Linked DNA regions of Tribolium castaneum. The protein of the gene in region 1 interacts with the protein of each later gene in a biochemical or structural test. Links are inferred from orthologs where the notes say so. Each region holds a gene or a part of one and is shown on either strand. Other genes may lie near its edges. The genes, in order: Mhcl and sau.

The links.
Region 2: the proteins of Mhcl (region 1) and sau form a complex in vitro, tested with the Homo sapiens proteins (2 studies listed by IntAct). The link is inferred for Tribolium castaneum from reciprocal best matches to the Homo sapiens genes MYO18A and GOLPH3.

The regions. Positions count from the first base shown.
Region 1 is NC_087401.1:16,438,319-16,447,670, reverse strand, and holds the start of Mhcl (unconventional myosin-XVIIIa), read right to left. Parts: upstream 5,497-9,352; 5' UTR 5,406-5,496; coding exon of another isoform or gene 5,399-5,405; intron 2,119-5,398; exon of another isoform or gene 1,859-2,118; coding exon of another isoform or gene 1,782-1,858; intron 1,727-1,781; coding exon of another isoform or gene 1,670-1,726; intron 1,610-1,669; coding exon of another isoform or gene 1,310-1,609; intron 1-1,309. Other genes in the region: calmodulin, read left to right, coding at 1,310-1,609, 1,670-1,726, 1,782-1,858; TLC domain-containing protein 3A, read left to right, coding at 5,866-5,907, 6,112-6,371, 7,951-8,257, 8,308-8,538, 8,629-8,775.
Region 2 is NC_087403.1:8,419,266-8,428,674, forward strand, and holds sau (Golgi phosphoprotein 3 homolog sauron), read right to left. Parts: upstream 7,206-9,409; coding exon 7,020-7,205; intron 6,968-7,019; coding exon 6,721-6,967; intron 6,665-6,720; coding exon 6,489-6,664; intron 4,734-6,488; coding exon 4,485-4,733; 3' UTR 4,088-4,484; downstream 1-4,087. Other genes in the region: band 4.1-like protein 4, read right to left, coding at 1-55, 103-200, 852-973, 1,024-1,128, 1,542-1,638, 1,848-1,913, 1,997-2,145; tRNA pseudouridine synthase Pus10, read left to right, coding at 7,652-7,765, 7,811-8,045, 8,092-8,228, 8,280-8,605, 8,652-9,070. UniProt on the Homo sapiens protein: Phosphatidylinositol-4-phosphate-binding protein that links Golgi membranes to the cytoskeleton and may participate in the tensile force required for vesicle budding from the Golgi.

The DNA.
Region 1 (9,352 bases):
TATACCGGAAGTCGCTATCAACTTGCTTATTTTAAATCGAAAGCTATGTTTTTAGCTGCGTTTTTGGATCAGTTGAGTTATTTTAAGGCCGTTTTTATCAGCTTTCCCTATACCTACGTTTAACCGTTTTCGAGATATTTAAGTTTTTTTGAAAATTTTTGGATTTGCACCTGTCACTTAAAAAATCGGTAACTCTCCTAGTTTTAGAAATTTCGAAATCATATTTGGAGAATTGAAAGACGAAGCCTAGATATGTTCTCCTGTGTGTTCAAAATTGGAAAAGAAGTTAACAAACCCAAAAATTTTAATGTCAAGTTTGGACAACTTCAAGTACCCATAACATAATTTTTTTAAATGGAATGTCCCAATTTTTTTTTTACTAGATGGAGGAGAGTTTTTTTCTGCATCGATCTATGTTAGCATTCCCTATACCTATCTGTGATAATTTTCAAGTTATGTTGGTTTTTTTGACATTGTAGAAAATTTCTTACTAACCACAGCTATTTTTGCATAGTTTGCCTTGAAAACATTTCTGATTAAACAAACGACAAACTCTCCTCAAAATTGTGTTGTCCGTCGTGTGAAAACAAAATAAATTCATTTAAAAAACTTTAATTTCTCACATTTTTTTCTCTCGTTTCCATGGCAACCTATGAGAAAATTGCTCAATCCCAACAAAAAGTTATTGTAACTTGAAAACTATTAAACATAAGTATAGGGAATGCTAATACAAATCGATGCAGAATTAAATTCTCTACGATTTAATGAAATAAAATTTGTGGCATTTCATTTGAAAAAAATGAGTTATGGGTGTTTAAAGTTCTGAAAACTTAACTTTAAAAATTTTGGGTTTGTTATTACTTTTTAGAAATTTGAAAACACCAAAGGAGAGACCTAAGCTTCCTCTTTCAAATGAGCTAAAAAATATTTCCAAATTTTTAGAAATGGCAGAGGTATCGATTTTTGAACTGGAAGGTGCAAACCCAAAAAAAAATTAAAAACCTAAATATTTCGTAAACGGCTTAATTTAGGTATAGGGAAGGCTTATGAAAACTACCTTAATAAATAATAAATAAATAATAAATAACTCAAGTAATCCAAAAACGCAATAAAAATCTAGCTTTCCATTTGAAATAAGCAAGTTGATAGCGACTTCCGGTATAGCCGGAAGTGCCACCATCTCGAAGATATTTTCATTGTGCAGGACCTAAGAGATTATGGTTGTATACAAATTTTCAAATGACTACCAATGTGGGGTTTAGACGGAACACCTGTAGTTTTACTGAACTTTTTTTAAATTTTTTTGTAGAGGAGCTGGGACGTGTTATGCGTTCGTTAGGCCAATTCGCCCGAACCGAAGAATTGCAACAAATGCTCCAGGAGGTGGATGTTGACGGTGACGGAAATGTCAGTTTTGAGGAATTTGTTGACATTGCTTGGTCAGCGGGCGCTGGAGGTGACCCCGAACATGTCCTCTCGAGGGAGGAGGAAGAGAAGGAATTGAGGGACGCGTTTAGAGTGTTTGATAAACATAATAGAGGGTATATTACCGCCTCCGATTTGAGGGCGGTTTTGCAATGTCTTGGGGAGGACCTTTCAGAAGAAGAGAGTGAGTTTTATTTTTCAGAAAAACGAAAAACGCTTTATTTTTCGTTTTTTTTTTTTTTAGTTGAAGATATGATTAAAGAAGTCGATGTTGACGGTGACGGCCGTATAGATTTCTACGGTACGTTTGGCTGAATAAAGTTAAATTTTTAACAACTACATTAATTTTTTTTCAGAATTTGTCAATGCTCTGGGAGAGCCGGGCACCGAAGACAGTTACGACGACGAAGACGATGAAATAATCGGTTATTAATTTCTAAGTGTTATATCAATGTATGAATCATATCGAATTTTTACATCTGGATGTGATGTTTTCTCTGAATTTGCTGTTTGCAATAATCGTCTATTAAGGGGGTCCATAGATGTCGAAACTTCTTGACGGGTATATGGTAGCCAATTCTACAAGCTTTACAATTGGGTGATACATTTCAAATTTTTGTGTTTATTTATTTGTCGAATTAATGCTTATTATATTGTTTGAATTACATGAAATAAAACTATTCGAAACAAAAACTGAGTTAATATTTTGGGGGAAAGATATTATTTTTCATGCTTCTGCAATTTTTGTTTTGTGATTAATATTCTTCTTGTCATTAGTGTGGCTCCTGGCGGTCCGTTTTTGGACATAATTTACATAAAATACCTTCGCCAATTTTTTAGCAATTTTTTCAATCACCCATAACTAATTGTTACCAAATTTTAATCGATTTTCTTGCATTTAATTCACAAGAATTGGTTCTGATTCGGTATTTATTTCAAATTTTATCACCAGAATGACAAAAACGTCGTAAATCAACTCGTTATTTAATGGGCGATTATTAATCTCAACTATTTGAAGCACTCACTCGCTATCGCTCGTCCGTGCTTTAAATTACTCAACGCCTTCATCAAATAATTACTTAATTAAATAACTATTAATTATTGACTCTTTAACGCTAGCGTATTTATTTTTATCGGCGATAAATTCTACAAACTGAGATAACCAAAAACCTTATCTGTTGACTTTACCAAATGGAAGCGTTTGATTTACACAATTCACACCAAAAAACGTGATATTTCAAGCACTAACCACCTTCAAAATGGGGCTTTTAGTAAGGTAGGGGCTCACATTACAAATCACATTTCCACTTAATTACTTTTTTTAAATAAAGCGCTATGGCACTTGACAACAACTCCTCACAAACAATGGTAAATTTTTTTTTAATTCATTCATTTTTTCACCAAACAAACTTAAATTTTAGCCACCGCCCATCGAATTAAATAATATGCAAGCAGAAGAGGAAAGAAGGCTTCGTCAACAACCAGTAATTGACCAACAACCGACTCGATCCGAAAATTACACAGACCCTGATTGTGGAAATTGTTGCATATTTTGCATAACACCAACTCATCATCATCACCACCATCATCACGATGACTGTAATTGTTGCAAATGTGATTGTTGTTGTTGTTGTGATTTATTAGTCTGCGGAGATTGTGATTGCGATTGTGACTGTGACTGCGGAGATTGTGATTGTGATTGTGATTTCTAAATATTAAAAAAAAATAAAACAAATTCGAGTGTGAAATTCGTTTTTTTTATAACCAAATAATTTGTATTCATGGATTTTTCTCGTTCGAGAAAAACATTGAAAAAAACTGTTTAAAACACATTTTTACTAATTACTAATTAGTCATTAGAAATAATTAATTAATTAATTTTAATTATCACTTATCAGAAATTGTAGAAAAGTTCAATCCCATACAACTACTTAGTCCACCATAAAAACAAGCAAAACCACGACCTTGTATTCGTTAAATACTCGCAAGTTTTTTAACAGTGCTGTCTTTCTTTACTTGCGTCATGAGTTCTACTTAGGTAAAAATTTTTTACAAAAAAAAAATCCAGCTGAAAAACAAAGAGGCAACAGGTCAGCGATCAACAACCGCCTAGTAGTGATTTTTTCACAGCGTAGTAAATAAACATTGAAGCCACCACAAGGACTAATTATAAAACGAATAAAAACGAACAATACCGAAATTTATTTTCGTCAATGTAAAGTAACCAGTTTGCCCAACGAAATCCCGCTGTATTTGTTTACATAATTAATTTCCCTCAACATGGGTATCTGTGTCAGGTAAATAAATTCCAGTCATACAATTAAATTTAACTAATTATTTTTTGTATCAAGTTCCGTAATCCCGTCCAACAATTCAGTCCAGGTAAGCCATACATCATACACAATTATAAATTTACTTAAATTATCGATGACTCAATTATGATCTATTCCGATAGCCACCACAAAGTGTTCAAGAAATTGTACAACAACAACCGAAAAGAACAACAAATTTCGACGCCGACGACAACCCTCTTGTAACAGCAGGTTGTTGTATGTGTTGTCTCGATCCGAATTGTTGTTGTGATTGTTGTGATTGCGCTGATTGTGCGATGTGTCACTGGTGTTTCTCTTGTGATTGTTGTAGCGAGTGTAACGAGTGCTGTGGCGACTGCCTCAAAATGTGCTGTTAGCACGGTTTTTTTTAAATTTTTTGTATTTTTTAATAAAAAAAACATCCACAAACGCTTATTCTTCATTCGACAAATAAATATTATATTTAATAAACTACATAATGTCTATTTTAATGTTTAACTTAACTGTTTTAAACTGAAATCTTTTTCAAATTTCTATCGTCATTTATTTTAAAAATACAAGGCTAACTTGATTTTTTTTAATGGCACGAAGGGTCAAATTTTATCATTTTTAAAAGAGCCTTTTTTCCTGAATTCAGTGATGTTACATAATACCCACCCTTACTTTTATTAAAAGGTAAAAAAATTAAAATTCAAAAATTTTCTGGAATAGTAAAACTAAGTTAGCTTTGAAAATACTGCTGTTAGCAATATGTCACTCGTATATTAGCCAAAAAATAAACTTGGGTGCAATAATTTGTTTAATAATAGAAAACTGAACGAAAAAAAATCCTCATGTTGCTTTATCAGAGTCAGAAAGCCAAGAAGTTAGTGGAAATCATTTTGATTATCTTTTGTGGCATAAAAATCAAATATGTAATTTTTTTTTTAATTAAAACGTGTTTCTTTCAGTTAAAACTGTTATTTTTAACTTTTACTTATTTTTTGGTTAATGTTCAAACAAACTAAAGATAAAGACAAAGTTTTCAAGGCTAACAAAATTTTGCATTTTTCAAAATTTTCGATTTTTTTTTTTAAGTTTCGATTAAATTAAGGTATGTATTACATCATAGAACCCAAATATATTAAATTTGACCCTTGTTGCTATTCAAAAAAAATCAAGTTAGCCTTGTATCCGAAGAACAAATGGAAATAAAAATTTAATAAACATCTGAAACGATAGGAATTACGTACACTTTAGCATACACCAAATTTCAGTAAGTTTGGATGAACAGTTTTTATATTATTTAACTGTATCCATACTTTTTAGCGTCCCTGTATGTTGTAGGAAAATCTATTCCGGAAATACACTTATAAGAAAACCAATTTTTTGTTAAAAGTCAAATTTCTTAGTTAGCTTTGATGGCGTCACATATGGCAGCTCATTTGCTCACCAGGTGGCGCTACGTGTCATAATAATTGTAAAGGCCGTCTTGGATACAAGTAGGTCATGATACGAACTAATTGTCAAAAACATAAATAATTAAGAATGATGGCTAATTATTCCGACAGTAACCATAATTCTTAATGACTAACTTTAGCTTAAGTACTTAGTAGACCATAAAATTTAAGTACACAATAAATTGTGCTGGAGAGTTGTAAAATCATGTAATTAAAACGTACCTGGCATTCGGAGAGTCTTATCACCTTATCAGTACGGTCACAGATCACTAATAGTCCGAAATAACACAAATTAACCGATAAACACACAATTCGAACTTGTTAGCGTCACTTCTGTCAAAAATGATTGTAAAAAGTGTCGCCAACATAAAATACAATGGCGTTTTTTTAACAAAAATAATTAATTCCAGTGTTGTGCAAACTTTTATATAAGAACAAGACTTGCTTTTAGCCCCTTCCCAATAATTCCAAATGTAATTATGATTAAATTGGCAAAAAATTGCAAAAACTATTAGTTAGCAAGTCCCTTCGCTGCGTCGCTGCGTTCGCTTCGACTTTGACACTTGAAAAAATTCCGTTCCTAACCTCAAACCAGCCGCACTATGTGACAAAAGTGTGTAAAAACGGCCGTAACAATGTAAAAACAGCCCGATTAATAGCCAGTATAATAGCAAAAAAAAGTGTAAAAAATGAAATCCAAAGTGCAACTAATTTCGCAAATCAAAAAAGAGGTGAGTTTTCCGCCCAAGTTTCCCTCCCACGGAAAAACCCCGTAATAAAATCTAATACGATCGGTCCGATGAGTGCGCGTCGAAATAATCCATAAATATTTACGTTGCGAGATAAGGAGTGAGTTGTATTCGGGGTAATGTTATCAGTGATGAAGGTAGAAAGGTTGCGTAAGTCGGCACTAATTGCATTTTTCACGTTTGCAGCACCGGAAGACTCACATGCATATACCCCTCATTTTCGTGCTGGTCTCCACACTTGTTCTGTCAGTGCTGTCCGTCACTGACCTCGACTGGGAAGATAGAATTTCGATCAAAAGGGGCTTTTCACTGTTTTGTTATGGATTGGTGTTTTTCACCGTTTTGTACCTCGTTAGCAACAACCTGATGTTGCGGACGTCGCTCGGACAAAAATTCGTACGGACGTACAAGCTGGCGCCAGCGGATGTCTTTGATATTAGCAACAAGTAAGTGGCGAAAATTTCCCACAAAAACACCATTTCGACTAAATTTGGACGAAATTGTTAAATTCTGACCGGTAGGGAAGTCGTATCATAAATATTACAAAGTGTTTTAACATAGTTTTTACGCCTAAGGTATGCAACCAGCAATACATATTACATAAGAATTGCCATAATTCGTCAAATTGATGACTAATTTGTCCAGCAAGCACTCTAGATAATACAAAATGCGCTTAGGATTTTGTCGTTCAATGTTTTTTTTTTTTTTTTTTTGGAGGAAATTCAGTCATGATTTAAATATTTTTGTGTGTTTCAATATTTCACAGGCGATTTGATAATAATATTTTGTAACACTTCTTTATAAAAATTAAATATGTAATAATATGTAAGAGGTAAAAAATTATAAAAGAAAAAGAAAAAAGAAACAAATAAACAAGGACTTGCAAGTTTGTTGGCCTGTGCAAAAAAAATATTTCTACTTGAATAAAAAAATAAAAATAAAAAAAGAGAAATTTAACATAATTTTCGGTTAGTTTTTAACAAAATTTTGAGAAGTTATTGTGTTTCTGAATGATAAACATGTTAAAAATGTCATATGCAACAGAATTTAGTGATTTTTTTTAAACAAAACCACTATTATTGAACTAATAATGAATTTTTTGACTTTGTTTTTTCAAAATTTTGAGAAAATTTTGCGTCCGATTTAGTAAACTTTGACTAAGAACTGCGAATTTGGTTTTAAAATATGCTTGGACATTAAAAAAAGATAAAAATACTACAATTTTCTACCAAATTTTATGTTTTTTACATTTATTGTTTCGATTAAAAACCAACTGAAATCGAATGAAACAAACAAATTTTTTTAAAAGAGGAAAATATAACATGTTTGGTTTAATGTTTTTATTTGCACTTGTTTTTAACAAAATTTTGCGAAATAATAATTACGTTTTGTTTGGAAAACGCTCGAAAACGACACAAAATCATGTAATTATTATCTTAATTTAGCAAAATCCTCACACAAAACTAATAATCTCGTTTAGAAATACAATTTTTTTCAAGGTTTTTTGATATTTTTTTGCATATTTTGACGAAATTTTCGAGATTTTCCGGCTTGTTCTAATTTAAAATAAATTGATGAATTTTCGAAATTTTGCGAAATAACTCATAGTTCTTTGGTAGCTATTTTTTATTTATCTTAAGCCTGCGAGAACAAGCATGTTTTTACTTTGCAATAACGCGTAGGGACATTTATTACTTATTTTTTTCCAATCTAGAGCAAAAAATTTGCAAGGAGTGCATTAAATTGCTCATTTGGGAATTTGTATTTTCTAAACAAAAAAAATGAGCTTCGGAGTTTTTAAGAGGCATTTTAGTAAAAAAAAAATAGCACAAGCGTGTCATTTCAGACAAGTCTCATCCGTCCAAGTGGCTTAATTTGTGCGAGAACAAGCGTTTTTGTACTTAACAATAACGTCTAGGGACATTTATTTTTTATTTTTTTCCAATCTACAGCAAAAAATTTGCAGCACGAGCGCACGGAGTGCCTCAAATTGCTGGTATGTTGCAAAAAAACTTGTCATTTCAGACAAGTCTCAGCCGTCCAAGCCCTCTTCTGTTGCATCACGGGCCTCACCAGCTGCACCTATTCCTGCACCAGAGACATGCTCCACACCTCTCACTACATCTCAGAGGCATATGCCTGGTTTGGTGCTGCGTATTTTTTCTACGACATTTGGTCGATGTACAAAGTTCACAATGCCAAAGTTGTGCAAGCCAGCATGAATGGCGATGTTAAACGAACAGGTGTTAAATTTTTCAGCTATTTGAAAAGTCATGCTGTCATCGTAGGACATCACATTTTTATCGGTGGCTTTGGGTTTTTAGTTATAACGGTTGGTAGTAATTTTTTATGTGTGACATTCTATATAATGCCAAATTCAAGTATTTGAGAGGTGGCCTTGGTGATTGTTTCTTCGGATTCGTGTACCTGATGGAGGCTAGCACTCCTTTTGTGTCCTTGAGGGGCATTTTGTCAAAGATCGGCATGAAATCGTCCATTTTGTACGTAATCAATGGCCTTGTGATGTTGGGGACGTTTTTCGTCTGTAGGGTGGCAATGTTCCCCTGTGTGATATACTTGTACGCACGCAGCGTCGACTTGGATTATTTTTCCGTAAGTTACATTCTGCGGAATAACCCTGTATTTCACTACTATTGGTTATACAGGGTTATTCTTTAAAATGCATTTTTCTTTTGTTTACAGGCGATTCGATCGCTGCCGACTGGATGTAAGGTGAGCATCGTGATCCTGTTGCTGCCGCAAGTGTACTGGTTTCTGTTGATGGTGAAAGGAGCCTCCCAAGTGCTCAAAGGCAAAGTGACCAAAAAGAAGACATTGAAGATGCATTAACTAAGACTTGTAATCCGAGCTTAGCGCTTTAAATAAATATTACATATACGATTTGATGACCAGAAAAAGACGAATTTACGTGGATATTGCTATTTCTGGATAATGTTTAACACGTCGCATCAATGTCGTTATTACTGTGATTGTTGATTATTTTGTTTATTTATTGAAATGGGTTCGTGCTCGATTCAAAGACTTGTAGTATTTTTTCGCATTTCGCACCAATTTTCGTGCACAAACTTGTTGGAAACGTACCTTTTGTAACTTATTAACATTTATTATTGTAAATGACTGTTTTATAAGTCACTAAGTGTAGGAAAAGATAAAATAAAGCGATATTAAAAAGTCGTGTTTTAAACAAGTCTCCCCTTACCTTACAAAAACAAACAGTAGAATAAACACCACGTGACTAAAAAAAGTGGTAAATAAGTGCATAGATAAATGGAATTAAAAAGTGGTGAAATTTAATCCGTCGTTAAAAGTTAAGACGCTAATGGACCAATCACATTTGTTCAATTTGGTCACGTGATCATTTAATGGCGGATTAAATTAATGACGTTTCTACAAACCGGTCCCTAGA
Region 2 (9,409 bases), on another chromosome or scaffold:
AATTCCGATACGTAGCCTTTGCTGTGACGCCGGGGGTCATAGTCACCAAGCTCCGCTAAAATTCATCAATCACCACAATTATTCCAACCTCGAACTACTCACATTGCACCACATACGCCCCCAACTCGGCCGCCAACTCAAAGGGCACCAGCAAGCGCTCTTGCAAAATGTCCTGCTTCACTTGCAAAAAAAACTGATATCTGAAATTTTCAATCACAGTTAACCGGTCCCCAATTAATCATTAATTAGACACACTTGAATCGCAACGAAATGACAAAAAATCAAACGGAAGATACATATTTAAGGCAAAAAGTAGACACATTTGTGTTAAATTTATGGTTAAGGCGAAGAGGATGTGAGAATCGTTAAATTATTATTTAATGACGATAATGAGTGCTATCGTAAGTGCAGAGCTTAAATTTTTTAAAACTTAAATAATTTCACTTTAACGTATAATTAGTCAATTGTCAAGCTTGAAGTTTCCGGTGTTCCAATTATTTGTGCTTTCTAATTACGCTGGTTAGAGGATCAAAATCGTTCGGACGTTTTAACAGAATCAAAATATGAGCAGCACAAAGCTGAAAGCTTTCGCAATTCTATTTGATTTTTCCGTTTTTTCGCAAAATTTTAATTGTTTTGCTCGAACGTGGGCAGATGTGTTACAATTTAATTTTAAATTATTTTTAGTGCGAAAAGGGTTTGATAATATGTGCGGGGGATGCGGCAAAATATTTTTTCTCGTGTGAGTGGTCTAGTTTGGTGGCATAGTTGCTTAATGAGACTGTAAGTGTGGGTATAACAAGCCATAAAATGAATGGTTTAATTAAGTTAACGGCGGTAATTTAACTTACCTTGTGATTTCTTCGAGGAGTTTGCAGGGATCGGCGGCGTAAAATTTGACTCCAAAATAGAAAGTGAAAGGATCAGGTCCTTTAATTTGTTTGCTTAGAGTTTTGGCTGGGTCGAGCCAGTGCTGGTTGGGACAAACGCTTTGAATAGAATTTGTCAATTAAAAAGACTTACAGTTTGTCCGGTTTGGTCTAAATATCGCAAGCCGAAATAGGCCGTTTCGAGTAGATTTAAATTGCGAAAAACGACGTCGAGTAAAGCTTGTCCGGTGCAAGAATCCTAGAAAAAGAAAGTGTGAAATCGCGAACAATGAATAAAAAGATTTCTCTAAACCGATAAATATAATCAATTAGTGGATGGTCGAAAGTTGATTGTTCGCGAAGCCTTGAGTTCAAGTCGAATTCATAATTTTGTGCAATGGTATATAATCATGAAAACGTCTGTACGGTTTTGAATATTTTTCAACCGCAAAGCGGGATCGAGGGCAGGAATAATTACGTGTGTCTAGACACCAAATTACTACTTTGAGAAATTTTCTTAAATCTGTTAGGCATTAATTGTTAAGCCGCGCCCAAACATTTTATCACGCAATATTGTTTCATCGGCGAGCTGAAAATTATTGAAAATAAAACTACAGACGTGTCACTGACTCACGATGATGTAACAACAGTGACCAAAACGGTCATACTCACTTCGATCTCGTGAATTAGCTCTTGTTCATCCAAAAGAATTATTTTGCAGTGGATTACTCTCGGTTTCGAACAAATACAGTCCATACTAAGTAAAAACCTGAAATATAACATAAGTCGATAAGCAATTAATGGATGCGCTAATGGATATAATCTTGTGAAGAATTGGCCGCTGTCTTATTTTGGCGCGATTTTTTACCAAACAAAGACAACTCTTATTCTGATATATTAAGGGCCATTATATTTGCCACTCTTTCTTGACAATGGGATGTAGTTGTGAGTAGGTGATAATCGAGTTCAGTGACTTACGAGGGTGGACACCACAGTCTTAACAAATTACGCAGCTTATTAACCAGACAATAAAAATAATCCTCACTGAAAATAACCACACGCGAGTTATTTGAATAAATTTCGTATGCGTACAACAGTCATGTTAACGTGCACTGATTACAATATACCTCGTTAATTTGTTTATTTTATCGAAATTTTTGTTGGAATTTGAATGATGCCACCTACATCCGTTACACACATTAAAGAGTTTCGACGTGAACAATATTAGATTATCGGAGATAAAAAATGATGCTTTCCACCCGACATCGCCCCACATTCTTCTCCCAAAACCTTCTCAGGATGCAGGTTGAAATAGGCGGCCATATAGTCACGAAATTGCTATGCATTAATTATTTTCGGCCCCGAGCTACAAAATAATTTTAGTCCACTAGTCTCGAAACTCTTTCGGGTTTTACAATATCGTAATTAATCTTCATGATCCTAATAATACGTTTAAACAACACTCGAAATACCATCTTGAGAAATAAGCAATTTTTCCCGGCCTGGCGTTTTACGAATTCAAAAATGTTTCCCATTTCAATCATTTCATTAATGACTGTCTCCAAGAAGCTCAGTTACGAGCCACTTTTGCATAATTCAATTAAGCCCAGCCGAATCGTGCCACAATTTTCAAACGATTGAAACTTAAAAATTAGGAAAAATTCCGGTGGGAAACACAAACCACGGAAGTGGTTTTCAAACAGAGCAGCTGTGACCACCAAAACCGAAACTTACAATTCACCAAACAAAAAATGATTAATTTCAAGCACAAACGGAACGAAATTATTAATTGAGTGAGTTTGATGATTGTTCTAGTGTGAGTTGACCCGCCTCCGATGTGTTAAACAATGAATTTTTGCGTGTGTGCTCGCACACACCGAATGAAAGTATCATTGTCTTACCTGGAGTGGCCGTGAAAATAATCCTCAACTCGTAATAAATAAAATCAATTAATCATCGTTATTAAAATATAACTCAACATCACTCCACTGCACTAGCAATATACAGTTAAATAGCGATGTACATCCTAGGCCATTCAACTTTGAAGTTCAGTTTTAAATCAAGGTACAGGTAAGAACAGCACACCACAGAGACCTGCTTCTAACTACAGAAGAGAACAACCGACCCATGGAAATTGACACGGTAAATTGCTTACATGCTGTTCGGTTTACGAATCGTCTTGGCAAGTGAAGAGGTGGGAAAACGGGTCTAATTTACTGATCTGTAAAATGATTTCTGGGCCCAGGTAAGCCCCCATCGGGTCCCAGCCCTACTCCTCGCCGTTTCCGGTCACCGGACACGAAACAACGCAATATTTTACTCGCCGTCAACCGTTAGCGGCGTCAAATTCCCGGTAATTAGTCCAGTTATACCAGATTTGATTAGTTGCTAATAAAAAGTTGGAAAAGAAACGTGGACTCATTTCCTCAACATCCGATGTAACTGGTTTCAGTCAACCGGCAAACTCCGGAGGGCTATTAAAGGCCTTGCCGCCACCTTTCAAACCATCTGTTTTGCATGAACAAAGACGGCTTCACCTTTCCGAATTCGGTGTGGGTGATAATTGATAAAATATTCGCAAACTAATTTCATTATAATCCCGAATTTGCAATTAAAATCTTGCGAAAAATCCGAACAAAGGCGAAGTGAACGTTCGGCCTCTACAACCTAATCTCGTCCATTTTTAATTCAAAGTAGTTTTCCGTGAGTGCAAAACAATCAATTAAATAGGCACCCGTAAATCTCGCTAATTAAGTGGAAATAGTCCGAGTGCTTTGTCTCTGACCACCGTGACCCAGCGGAAGTTTTTTCATCCTGAGAACCGAATTATTAAGCCAATTAAGCAGGATATCATCGCTAGATTGGTGTTACGGTGTCGGAAAGATGCTAGATAGCAATGAAAGTCATTGCTCGATAATTATTGGTTGCCTAGTCGTGCAAAAAAACAAAAGAAGAGGCATAAAAATCCGACGTGTGATTGGCTAAGCATGACCAATAAGGCGACAGCAGATGATTTATTTGTTCATTTACCAATCGTCTTTGATTATAATTACTCTTTGTTTCTCGCATTCTCGCAAGATAGCGATGCACCGGAAGTTGATAATTCCATGAATGTGATTATCTACACCCACTCGGACGCCACTTTTTATTATCAACGTTGGCATGCTTTGGCAATTAACTGCGGTTCTGCGATAAGAAAAGGTAAATAAAAGTCGGAGTTATAAATATTGATACAACTTTATTTTTATAAAGAAAATGGGAATATTTTAATACAAATTAAGGCTAACTCCTGCAATGAGAGTAGAATTATAATTTATAAAATAATAATAATTAGGTAATATTTGACATACATGAACAATACATTTAGTTCGAAGTTATGTACAAATAAAAGTTGGAGTACATAGTTTCCTGATGTCCGAAGCCTCTAAACATCAACGAAGCTAAACACCCTGTGTATTACCACTGAAACTGATTATCCTAGTCTAGCCTGTGTACTCCACATAGAAAAAATTTCCAATGTACAAACTAACATCACATTAAATACAAAACTGATAACTTCAATATTTCAACGTAATTTATTTATAGTTAAAATTTAGTAGCAAAAACAGTTTATTTTCATTTCGTGAAAGCGGCGAAAACGGCCCACAGTACCTCCGAAGTGTTTGGTTTGACTGATTCTTGCTCAAAGTCCAAGTCAAGTAACTCTCGTACTCGCTTTATTGCCAATTCGTAGTCGTCGTCATTTAGGGGCGCAAAAGCGTTCTCCAGAACGTCACTAGCATGGGCCAGGAAAATCAACGCCAACATCCGCTTGTCCATGCGCTGGGGGTCGTTCACCCACTTCGTAAGTACGGCATCCTGGATCTGAAAAAGCGGTTTTTTACCCCAAGCCCTCCGCCAGAAATTCAGACACACTTTGCTTAAATTCAAAATAACAAAGTATTTCCCGATCTCTAAAGGGCAAACAATAGTTAACTTGCTTTGCTGCCGAACCAGCTGAAATTTTGCATACATACGTAACCTCCGTGCTATTTAGTTTAATAAGTTAGTTAATTCTGTTAGGATTTTTTAAGACGAAACCAAACCCTTTTTTCCCACAGGAACTAACATATTAACAAGCTAAAATTCATACATACGTAATTTTGTGACATTACAATAATATATACATTATTTAATAATTTGTAAATAATTAACAATTGTAATTAATTTATCAATATCCTGGCCTTTAGTTGAAAAATGGGAATGGGACCAAATCAATTCCAAGTAAAAACACAGTACCCAAAAAATTTTTTGATGAGTTTTTTACATATTTAGCATTATTTTTACGCTTAGGTTCATTTAAATACTTATTAGCAATTCTTTTTCTAAATGAATAAACACTAACTGTAATAAAACATTCCTTTTCCCAAGGTAAAACACCGTATCTACAAAATGTCTTAGAGACAGTCAATCGTAGTCCATTTGTTTACGTAAAAATAACTCATATAGGTGTAAAAAAGAATACATTTATACAATAATATAACTTTTAATCGAACTTTTAGTTTATTATTGGCAATCTATTTTGCTTATTTAAAGCACACAGCAGCACGTTTCTTAAAGTGTCCATGGCAACATTAATAACATAATAACCCAAGAAAAGTGAAAATAAATACTAACTTTTTTAACATTTTTTATTAAAATGATAATCAATTCCATGGCAACGAAAGGTAAACTGATCTCACATTACATTATTTTCAATATTTGTAATATCAATATTTATGATTTCAAAGTGTACCAATAAAAAAACTAACGTAAAGTATTCATGTATAACTCTTTTACGAGCACTCCGGCTACGCCGTCGTGCTCGACAAATCCTGCATATTTTAAATACCTCAATATCCACTTATACTTTAATATCACGTTGTTTTAGATAATTTAATACTCACGTCTTAAACTGTCCTAAAAAAACGATATTTTTAAGTTAAACAATATGAGTAAAGAGTTAGTCATTCAAAGAGGCCGGTTAAATAAGTATTTTTTGGTCTACTGAAAGATTAAAAGCAGATACTGCATTTTAGTTCAAGGCAGTCGAATTAGAGACTAGTATTTTCCAAATATTTGTTATGCACAATCGGTGTCGAATATAATTTACACCAGAGAGTGTAAATAAATACAATAAACTATTCAATAAATAGGAAAAAATAAAGAAAAGGTGAAGAATAAGTTTTTTCTCAGAAACATACATTTGTGCTTATATCTTACAATTTTAAAATTTATAAAAGCTTTGGGAAGGAGTATTGCATAATTACCTCAGTTACACTCTTTCAAAGCTTTTACAAATTTTAAAAACTTAAACTATAAGCAAAAATGATATTTTCTATATACGACGATATAGACTACCCAGAAAACTTAACTAAAAAAAGTGAAGATTTTGAAAGTTGTGGACATAAATACACTTAATTATGTAAAAACGTAACGAAAACAAAAAAATAGAAATGAAGACAATGTAATTAGGGAATAATTCGCAAGTGTAAGTCGTATACTCTTCTTAGTACTTTACCTGCCTATCGTTAAAGTTCTACTTGATCTACTATTTAGTAGAACGGGGCACCCTTTACCACCTGCTGTATCAAAACGTACCTTTTTTATTAAACGGCTTTTGGTGACGTTATCGGTCAGAGGGTGCGTGGTCATATCAAACAGCAGAAAGTTTTGCTTCTCCGTTGTGAGAACCCCCTTCTCGACGAGGTTTTTCGCTAGGCGTTCCCGCACGTTCTTCAGCTGGTAGCGCAGTTTGAGGGGGTTCCAAGTTTCGCCTTAAAAGCACGCAATTAAGTGAACCTGGGGGCAGAAAGGGGCATTTGGAGCATACCGCTGAGGTACTCAATCCAGCTTTGAACCGTTTCTGGTGGATCTGTTTCCTTGAGATGTTTTAAAGCTTCATCTAGGAGGACGTCTCCGGTAGGTGTGTCGTTTTTGAGGATAAGTTTGCGGGTGAGGAGCGCCTTTCGGCGCATACCAGCCCGCTCGAGTTCCACACGTCCACGTAAACCTAACTCGATTAGAATACACCCCCGGAGACCGCTCGAAATGCAGTCGTTCCAAAACGATGTGTAACCCTTAAAAACGACACGGTTAGGTGTGGTGAGCACACGGGGGGCGAAGCCCTACTTCTTTGTCTTTTAAGCCTAATAATAATACTTCTTCCATTAAAGTTAATCGGGTTTCTTTGGAATCGCCCTCGTCTATGTCTTCGTCGTGCTCCTGCTTCTTCTCATTGTTCTGCGATTCTTTCACACCTTCACCTGAGTCACGTATTATGTTTCGTCTTTGCACCAGCCCTTCACTCCGATTCATTTTAATTAAATATCAAATAACTTATTTATTTTCTACAAGACTTGACGTTTAACTGACTTCCATCAACATGGCAAATGTCAAAAGCATGTAGGCTGCTGGCAGAAAACCACTCCGTCCGAAAAATCGACAAATTCGCTCACTTTCTAAGAAAATTATTCATTTCTAGTATTTAACAAACTAAACTAACCCTTCAAGCCTTTTTTTTGGATAAAAAATCAAAAATCGGGAAAAAGTGATTACGTCCTACGATTACGTCACGCTCTTATCAATTCCAATTTAATCCCTTTGTACAGAAAATCTAACAATGCCAAGTAATCAGCACCCACAATTTTTATGATTTCCCCACCACGGGATTTTTTCAAGTTTGGAAAAAATTGTTGTCGAATGGGTTGCATAACCCACCGTTTTTAACCTCACTTTTTGCCACCACATTATTTTATTTAAAAATGACCGAAAGTGATAAAGCCGAAGTTTTCAATTTTTTATTGGAGACTGGGTGTTGCAAAAGGTGCGCTTTACGCTACGTTGGCGATAACACAGCCGATTATGATAATCCACAGGTAAAAAAAAGTCGTATTTTCAACAATTAAAGGTTTTTTTTGTAGCAAAACGGACACGACCAGTTGGCGAAAAAGACGAAATTGAATTCGTGCATAATTTGTCTCGATTTGCTCCAAGATGTGACTCTTGAATCCATGGTTCAGTGTGAAGAACTGGAGGGTGTTAAGGAGTACGATTGCAAGACTTTTATTAATTTCATTAGTTTTCCGGTTGCTGTTCTAATAAGGGAACACAGCATGGAGATTCATATGAATGAGAAGTTCCCCAAGTTTTTTGAAGGTTGTTTGGTTTGCTTGTTGAAATAGTTGAAATGCTTACATTTCAGATCGTAACATTGTTCCAATAAACAGGGCATGGTCCTTGTCAATACAAAACAAACTGGGCGAAAAACTTGGCAAAAAGTTCAATAAAGATTCATTGCTCCAAATCCAGTTTAACACGACTTATGAATTTGAAAAAGAGGTAACGAAAGGACTAACCACTGCTTGTTTAAAAATTAATAAGTTGTATTAGGAGTCGTCAATTATGTTTCTGATGGAAAGTAGACTGAAAAAATCAAATGGACAAAACGAGGGTCTTAGTCGTAACGTAATCGGGGAGTTTTTAAAGACAATAAACACCGAACTTTTCAAAAAACATGCCGCTGTCCCTCCGGAACCGCCCGGGAAAGCTTTAAGTTTCGACCAAGTGGCTTACAAGCACGATTATATTTTTATAGCCGGAAGGTACTGTAAATATTCAAGAAACCTGTTTCAAACACCGTGGGCCAACGACGAAGTCCAAGTAATCAACAGTTCAGTTCAAGAAATTTTATTTAAGTCGCTGGAAAGCGTCTTTAAGTGAGTTTCATCCCTAGTTTTTGTTGTCGTAATTGTGTAACTCCAGATGCAGCAGTTTGGTGTTTTCGTCAAGTGGTCGTGAGGATTTTGACGTACGAATGCTAGGAAGAGGCCGTCCGTTTTTCGTAAAAATATGTGACCCCAAAGTCACCACAATACCATTTGAACAATTCCGCCTGATTGAGAAACAAATTGAAGAAACTAATTTAATTGAAGTCAGAGACTTGCAATTTATTTCGCGGAAGTTGCTTAACAATATCAAAGAGGGGGAACAATTTAAACAAAAGACGTACAGGGCGTTGTGTGTCGTAGACAAGCCGGAAAAAATTGGCGAATATATTGAAAAAATCAACAACATGAAAAGGGTGAAATTGCTACAAAAAACGCCCCTGAGAGTGTATCACAGGCGGTCGGCTGACGTCAGGGAGAAGGAGATTTACAACATGGAGGCAAGGCCGGTCACAGGTAGAGCGCGCTCCGAAAAAATAATAATAACTGATCATCTTAGTACGACTCATAGTCGTGAAATTATGAATAAGTTTGACCTGTTAATTGATTACGGTTGTTGTAAAATTTGTAAATATTTTGATTGGGCGGTTTGAGGTCGGCCATTAAAATTACGGAGAAAACCAATCCCTTTAGGTTCCTTGGTTCATTGAGAAATTAGATTTTTGGATATGATTGGTCCGTTTGAGGTCGGCCATTAGAATTACGGAGAAAACCAATCACTTTAGACTATTTTGATTCATTGAAAAAAATATTTTTTTGGATATGATTGGTCCATTTAAGGTTGGCCATTATAAT